Canis lupus familiaris: one gene and its partner. The protein of the gene in region 1 interacts with the protein of each later gene in a pairwise test. Links are inferred from orthologs where the notes say so. Each region holds a gene or a part of one and is shown in the gene's direction. Other genes may lie near its edges. The genes, in order: EML1 and ISG20L2.

What was found.
Region 2: the proteins of EML1 (region 1) and ISG20L2 interact in binary tests that used the Homo sapiens proteins (3 or more experiments, as listed by UniProt). The two-hybrid records come from large-scale screens. The link is inferred for Canis lupus familiaris from reciprocal best matches to the Homo sapiens genes EML1 and ISG20L2.

What each region holds. Positions count from the first base shown.
Region 1 is NC_049229.1:68,515,629-68,519,529, forward strand, and holds the start of EML1 (echinoderm microtubule-associated protein-like 1), read left to right. Parts: upstream 1-1,321; 5' UTR 1,322-1,354; coding exon 1,355-1,547; intron 1,548-3,901. UniProt on the Homo sapiens protein: Modulates the assembly and organization of the microtubule cytoskeleton, and probably plays a role in regulating the orientation of the mitotic spindle and the orientation of the plane of cell division.
Region 2 is NC_049228.1:41,239,011-41,242,911, forward strand, and holds the start of ISG20L2 (interferon-stimulated 20 kDa exonuclease-like 2), read left to right. Parts: upstream 1-1,203; 5' UTR 1,204-1,245; intron 1,246-1,717; 5' UTR 1,718-1,834; coding exon 1,835-2,566; intron 2,567-3,901. Other genes in the region: protein RRNAD1, read right to left, coding at 563-905. UniProt on the Homo sapiens protein: 3'-> 5'-exoribonuclease involved in ribosome biogenesis in the processing of the 12S pre-rRNA. Displays a strong specificity for a 3'-end containing a free hydroxyl group.

The sequences.
Region 1 (3,901 bases):
GCTGGTCTCTGACGGCTGTTGTGGCTGCAGCTCTCCCCCACCCCGTCTCCAGAAGGCAGTTCCTTTGAAACATGGTAGCCTGGGCCCTCCTGTCTTCACACCCCCAAGGTCTCTGAGCTGGAAAGGCCTCAGTGCCTTTGAAGAGCGGCTGGATGCCTCTGATACTGTTCCACACCCCTCACATTTTCCTGAGGCTTGTGGACCCTCGAGCACCAGCATCTGCCCCCTCTTCCAAGAAGCCTCCCCTGACTTCCATAGCCCTTTCACAAATATCAGCCTCCTCTCCTTGGGATGATCGTGACCTCCTGCCCCTGCCGGGGATGCCTGCCAGTCTCCAATCAAGCTTTCCTGGTTCTTATCTATGCACCTGCTGGTCTCTTTTCCTGGAATGCCCTCTCTCCCCCTGAAAAAACTTTCAGATTCCTCACAGACATAACTCAAATGCCAGCTCTTCCAGGAAGCCCTCCAGTATTGGGGGATTCGGGTTGATGACCAGCTTCTCTCCTCTTTAAACCACTTCACTCCTTCTGCACCCTGCATGCAGACCCGGGTAGACCTCGAGTCCCGGAGTGGGGGGCCCAGTGACACCCAGTCCAGAGCTGACGCCCCTGGGAACGGAGCCCAGAGCCCTCTACTTGCCTCATTGCCCTAGTCTCTGGCCCAGGCCCTTGTGGGGACCCAGGAACAGGACTGGGTTACCTCTTAGGCAAGCACGCAGCAAGCGCATACTAAGTGCTTGCTGAGATGTGTCCTCCCAACCAATATTTCCTGAGTGCCCACTCTGTGCCCGACATGGGTCACACAGCTCCCCCAGGGAGTTCACCTCTGTCCCCGCACAGCACCCCCAACACACGTGGAGCGGTCGGCACCCAGGAGGTGCCCCGAAGTGGCTGCTCACGGTCTGCCAAACAAAAGCAAGGGCCACGCCTTCCTGTAGCCTTGGAGACAGACAGTCGGGCTCCAGAGTCTGGCTCTGGTCACACCCCTAACTGGCCGGGTGGCCTTGGGTGGGTCGCGGCTGGTCATGGAGAGCTGAGTGGGTGGACCAGCGTGGCAGCACCAGGCACGGACTCAGCGGGTGGCATCGCTCCGTCTTCTTCTCTAACGTCCAGAAAAGCCCCTGGTTGGCTGAGTGGAAGCATTCCCAGGGCGAGAGGCTCGGGCATTCTGGGGTCTCCAGGGCTGGGGCTGGGGGCCGGGGACTGACCAAGCACCCTGGGGTGCAGCAGTTACTCAGGCAACATTCCGAGGCTGCCCGGGAGAGGCCCAGGGCAGGGGAGGGCAGTGCCCAGATTTATCCACCAATCCGGCGGGCTCCTGGCTCTGGAGCACGTTCTTATCTGCCCGGCCCAGCATGGGGGGGCGGTGGGGGCCGCCGGGCCGGCTGGGGCGGGAGCTGCCTGGGGACTGGACGCGGAGCAGGCCCGGCAGCCCAAGCCCCACCAGGTGGGTGACGGCCACTGACGGCTCGGAGCGGCCCTGCGGGCTGGTGGCCGGCTGCCCGCCCATCCCCTGCACCATGTCGGACGGCGAGGGCCCCTCGGCCGGTGAGTGGCAGCGCTATATTTACCCGCCGCGGCTCCGGTTGCAGAGCCAAGGCTGCTGGTCGCTGAGGGCACCGGGCGCCCCCGCCCCGGGCTGCAGGCAGCTGTGGGCTGGACCCCCTTCTTTCTAGCCTGATGCCTGGAAGGGGGACCAGCCTCGCCAAGCCAAGTTCAGCCGCACCCCCCGTCTTCCCGACGGGGCTACACAGGAAGCTGTGCCTGCTGCAAACCCCTCCCGCTGCCAGCCGGGGAGTCCGGAGCCGACCCGCAGCGCAGGGGGCCGGACTGCGCCTGGGCCCCTCGGCGGGCCTGGGGTGCCACGGGCCTGGGGGAGCCTACGGCTTCCATCTGATTCCCCCAAACGTCTGAGACCTCTGGGGAGTTGAGCCCCGGCTCTGCCCGCACAAGGCCGCCTCTCCGTGAGCCCCCGGGTCCTCTAGGGTGGAAGCGGCCAGGGGCACGAAGGCAGAGGGGCGGCCAGATAACGGGGCCTGCCCACGTACCCTCTGCCCTCCCCGGGGCGAGGGGTTTGCTGGGGACTGGCAGGCCACCCTGGCTCCTACCGGTTGAAGGCGAGCTCTGGGAAGACGTCCCTCTGAGCTGGCAGTGGGTGGGGCAGGGGCTGCAGGCAGCCTAATCCAGGCTGCCCGGGTTCGAATCCCAATTCTTTCGTTTCTAGATTGGGTGATCGACCTTGGGCAAGCAGCTTAACTGCTCTGAAGCTCAGTATCCCCGGGTGAAAAAGGGGACAGTGGTAACAGTCCCTACCCCTCAGGTGCTTGTGCAGATTGCAGATTGTGATAAAGTGTGACAGCCTGATGTGCCGTGAACGCTCAGTGATGGCCCCGCGAAGCAGCAGGTGGAGGGTCCTGGGCAGGAGCCCAGGGGCACGGGAGCCTCCCTGTCTGGCCCCTCCAGTGGCGCCTTCTTTCCTAAGCCTCTGCCCATCTGGGGTCCCCTGGATTTCTTATCTGTCCTGCAGCCCCGTGGAGAATCCTGGGCATGTCAGGCAGTCCTGGGGGTCCCGGGGTGCTTATGATTGCTGGCAACGTGACACCCCCTGGCGTGGTGTCTGATGGACGGTCCTGGCGCCCGGGCCTGGCCAAGTCAGATTTGGAACAGAGTGTGTGTGCGTGTGTGTGTTGGGGAGGGGGACACCGACAAAACTGGCCTGACCTCACCCTCTTCCGCCAGGCGTCAGCAGTGCAGGCTGCCAAGAATTGTCCGCGGAGGAGCCGGTATGGGGGGGCGGGGGTGCCGCAGACAGGCCCTTTCTGGCTGGCTCTGCGCACACCTGACACGAACCCGGAATAGCTCTCTCCCTCCACCAGGGACACGGTCCTGCTTTTAGCAGCTTGTAAAACCACCCGCACGGAGCTGGGTATTTCAGGAAGGCCAGAACAATATTTAGCCCGCCGAGGCGATGGACTGGGTGCTGAGCGTGTGCATCTGCGTGTGTGTGTGTGTGTGTGTGTGTGTGTGTGTGTCCGGGAGGCTGGGAGGAGACACAGCCTTTACCTCCCCTTCGCTGCTTAGGAGAGGGTCAGCTGGGCTGGGGCCGGCAGGCATGGTCATGGCTCTGCCCACCCTGGCTGGGCAGGTCACCCCGGGCGAGCTCGGGACTTGGCTTCCCGCCTGTCAAATACCGTGGCCTGGTTTTCGTCTCTGCTGCGGATCATGGGAGGCAGGAGTGAAAGAACACCTGGGTGCAGGTGTGTGCGTGTTTGTTGGGGGGTGGTCTCCTGGAATGTGTCATCTGAAGTTCAAGACTTTCTAGGATTCCAACCCCACGACAGAGATTGGGTCCAGGAGGCTGCTGTGAAATATTTCTACCTATTTTCCGAAAGCTATCTCTGGACCTGTGTCTCCAGCGGGAAAGTTCGCCGCCGCCCCCACAAACCCCACCAGCCACCACCTGTGTGGCTGTGGGCGGGTTCCTGGAGGTCATGGTGCCTCAGTTTCCTTATCTGTTCCGTGGAGACAATAACAGGACACTAGCTCCTCAAGTCCCAATGAGGATTAAGTGATCAAAAGTGTGTAACCCGCTTAAAAGAACGCCAGGCTTCCTGTGAGCAAGTGTGACTGTTACTACTGTTCAACCAGTAAGTGAGCTGCAGCCGAAGAGGAAAATGAAGGGGACGAATTAGGTGTTGTGTCTTGTCCTGGCCACTTCAGGGACATCGCTTGATCCCTGGAGCGGGATACATGAACTTTGCTGTACAGCTGGGGAAACGGAAGCTCAGAGAGGCAAATAGACCCAGGTGGCCCAGCTGGTACATGGTAGAGTTAGGATTCGAACCCAGCTCCCCAGGCCCAAACTAAGGGCCCTGTCTGGGAAATCCCATCCTGCTCACCCC
Region 2 (3,901 bases), on another chromosome or scaffold:
TGAGAAACCCGGGCTAGGCGGAGTTTCTTCAGACGCCTAAGGCTGGCCCAGTAAAGGAGGCAGCTGGTCTGTCGGCCTCCAGAGCTCTCACTGTCCCTACACTGATGAGCCAAGGATTGACTCAAAGCTCGGGTGAAGAAGCACCTCGCACGTTCCCGGCAGGGCTCTGTGGTCCACACTTTGACCGTGGACTTGGGACGGTAAGAAAAACTACCTGTGTACTAGGAATGTTAACAGGTACGGGGCGGGGGGAGACGGGAGACGGTTCTAACCCTCTCTCGCACAGACACTAGGCTGAGACGCATAGAAAGCCGGAAGCCGGGGATCCCTGGGTGGCGCAGCGGTTTGGCGCCTGCCTTTGGCCCAGGGCGCGATTCTGGAGACCCGGGATCGAATCCCACATCGGGCTCCCGGTGCATGGAGCCTGCTTCTCCCTCTGCCTAGGTCTCTGCCTCTCTCTCTCTGTGACTATCATAAAAAAAAAAAAAAAAAGAAAGTCGGAAGCCTGCGCCCCAGATTCTCCGCCCGCCGGGCGCACCCGCCCACACCCCCCGGGCCTCACGATGATGTAGGCGTCCACGATGGAGCGGTAGCGCGCCAGCACGCGGGTGAGGTTCACAGCCAGCTGCCTCCTCTGCTCCAGAGAGAGGCCGCGCGCCGAGACGCCGGGCATCCCGGGGGCAGGCGGCGGCGTCGGGAGCGGGGCGCGCTGAGCGGAGAGAGCGCCGGAGCCAGTCCCCACGCGGGGACCCTTCCCTAGCAGTCGGCAGGCGCGGAAGACGGGACGCGCCCCTGACGTCACAGGTCGCGACGCCGCGCGGAGGGGGCGCCCCCGGGGGGCGGAGCACCGCGCAGCACGTCACAGAGGCGAGACGCGGCGTCCCGGCTCGCCCCTCCCCGCGCATTTCCCTCCTTCCCCGGAAGTGAGGCTGGCCCCGCGTGCGGCGTTTCCCGCGGGGCGCGGCCGTCCCACCTTCGAGTTGTACCTCCACGGGGCCAGAGGGGCCGGGGAGCGCATCCCGCCCCCGCCGCCCCCCACGCCGCCCCCGCCGCCGCCGCCCCTGCCGCTGCTCACGCACTCAGACTCCCTGGCCTCCCTCCCGGAGGCGGGGGCGCTGCGGGCGCGCGCACGCCGGCCCCCGACGCGGTCCAATCCGCGCGCCTGCCGGCCCGGGCCTCGCCGCCGGGCGCCCACTTCCGCATCCGGCGCCGGGCGCTTCCGCTCGTAGCGGCGTCTGCCGGGAGGTAGGTGTGAGCGTCGGGGGCGCTCTCCTGGGCGGGGACCCCCGCGGCCTGGGTTCCCTGGGCGGCTACATGTGGTCAGGGGGCCTGTCTCGGGAGCAGGGCTGGGGCGCGGCGCCGGCGGAGGGTGACCGGCGGCCCCGGGGGCCGGCCCCGATTGCCGGCATGCGCGCTCAGCCGCTCTCCCCGGGCGGGCGATGCAGCCCCCGCTCCGGCTTTCCAGCTCCGCTTCCGAATGGGACTAGCTCTGGAGAGTGCCAGTGACCCTTCCCAGGCCCTACAGCTGGTGCATTATGGGGCCGCGCCACAACCGAGGCCCTCCTGGCTCACACGGTGCCCCTGACATCTCTCCACGTTACAGATTCGTTCCCACTCTGGGCAGTCGCTCGGATGCCTTTCCAACCTGCAGCCCACGCAGACGGGTCTTGTTTCCCAGGCCTGAAGGCTCTGTGATCAGGCTCCCTTTCTTTCCCAGGGTGTGCTACAGACCTCCAGATGTGGGCCCGTGGGATTCAGCAGAGGATGAGTCCTCTGTCGTGCTGTCATCAGTAAGCCACTCTTCCCAACTGCTTTCCCGCCATCCACTGTCCTCATGTCTACCCTGCTTCTCAATCTGGATTTTGGGGAACCTCCCCCTAAAAAAGCCTTAGAGGGGAATGCCAAGCATCGAAAATTCGTCAAGAAGCGGCGGCTCTTGGAACGGAGGGGCTTTCTGAATAAGAAGAACCAGCCCCCGAGCAAGACACCAAAGCAACATTCAGAACCTATGAAGAAAGGGGAGACTCCTAAGGTGGATGGCACTTGGAAGGTTTCTCCCCTTCCAAAAAAGAAGGCCGTTGCCTCCAGCAGTGGACCAGAGCAGTCCCTGGACAAGAAGACTGCAGTGCCGTGGCTGACACCTGCCCCTTCACAGAAGGCTGGCTCTGCTTTGGCTAAAGTAGATTTGCTGGGGGAGTTCCAGAGTGCCCTTCCAAAGATTAGGAGCCACCCAACTCGCCCCCACAAGAAGGGCCCCCAGAAGAATCCTACTCAGAAGAATGCCCCACAGAATTCCATCCAGTCTCATTCAGACAATAAGTGCTCCGGAACAACCCAGAAAACACCGAAGAAGATGGTGGCCATTGACTGTGAAATGGTGGGCACGGGACCCAAGGGGCATGTCAGTTCCCTGGCTCGATGTAGCATTGTCAACTACCATGGAGATGTGCTCTATGACGAATACATCCTTCCGCCCTGCCACATCGTGGACTACCGGACTAGGTGGAGTGGCATCCGGAAGCAGCACATGGTGAATGCTACACCCTTCAAGGTTGCACGGGGCCAGGTGAGAGGCATGGGGTACGACAGGAGCAGCAAGGTGGCTGCGCTGAGGTGCAGATCCCTTTTCAGCAGAGGATATCGCCCTAGAAGGCGCCAAAGAAGTTTGGAGGAGGGAAGTGGGAGTGGACTGCCAGATGAAGGGTGCAGGCATGGTGAAGGCCCAGAAAGTTACACAGCTAACGGCTGTGCTGAAGCGAGTTAGCAGAGACCGACCTGAACTCCCCAAAGGAATCATCACCTGGGAAACTAGGAACCTAGAGGACTAGGAGCACCACAGGGCAGAGTAGCAGGTGTGAATGGCGAGGGAATGGGCTCGATTTGGGAGTGCCTTGTAGAGATGTAGTTTGGGGTTGAGAACAGAGAGGTGGAGAGGGTAGTTTGGGGTTGAGAACAGAGAGGTGGAGAGGGTTCCCAAGCAAGTGTGGGAAGTGTTGGTGGCAGGAGCTAGGTGGTTTGTATTCTTGGGACAGGTAGCCTGAAGCGGAGGGGTTGCGTGTCGGGCTCTCACCTCAGTCATGAGCAAACTTCTTTGTGGTAGCCCCATGCTGGACCCTGGGAGCATCACAGGACAGGAAAAGGAAGGCGAACCTGGGAGGCAAAGGGAGGAGGTGGAGGGGAAACCAGCTGGTCTTCGGAGGCCTCCAGAGGGCGCCCATGGTCCGTATTTTTGTCTTTTCAACTTCACATTCTTAGTCTTTTTGGGACATGCTTTGTTCCACTAATTCTTTTCACTCCCTGTTAGTTGGAGGCGCTTCATCAGAGGCAAAGGTGCTGAGTTTTAGATAAAAGTACTTGAGAGGTGTGCCACAGGCCACCAGTGAGCAGGGCTGGGAGAGGCAGAAGGTGGGATGGGTCTGAGATCTCGAATCTGCGCAGCTTGAATGAGGGCTGGATGTGAATTAATGTACAGTAGAGGTGTTGGTGGACAGTAAACTGAAGGTGCGGTTAGGAGCAAGCAGGAACCTCATCAGTTGGGCTCCCATTGAGTTTTCGTCATAAATGGATTCCACAGTGCCCATGCCAGGGTGTGAGATGGGTACGTTCAGATGGTCTGGCCCCTTCCAGGGGGTTCCTGCTGGCTCTGCATGGATTGTAGGACTGTGGCTTTTGTTCACAACCTGTTTGGAGCCCTCTTGGGGAATGGCCTTGAGAGCTTGTGCCTTATTCTTGGTTGTCTTTTTGGTTGCATGCCCTCATGCTTTGAGATCCTGAAATGGTGAGGTGACCTGGTCCTGAGACTAGTGTGAATGAGGTTCCTGAGCAGCTGCTGAGTGAGTGGGAGGAGCTGTAGAGCTGATTTTCTGGGTTGCTTGACCGATTCCCTCTGCAGCCTGAGTCT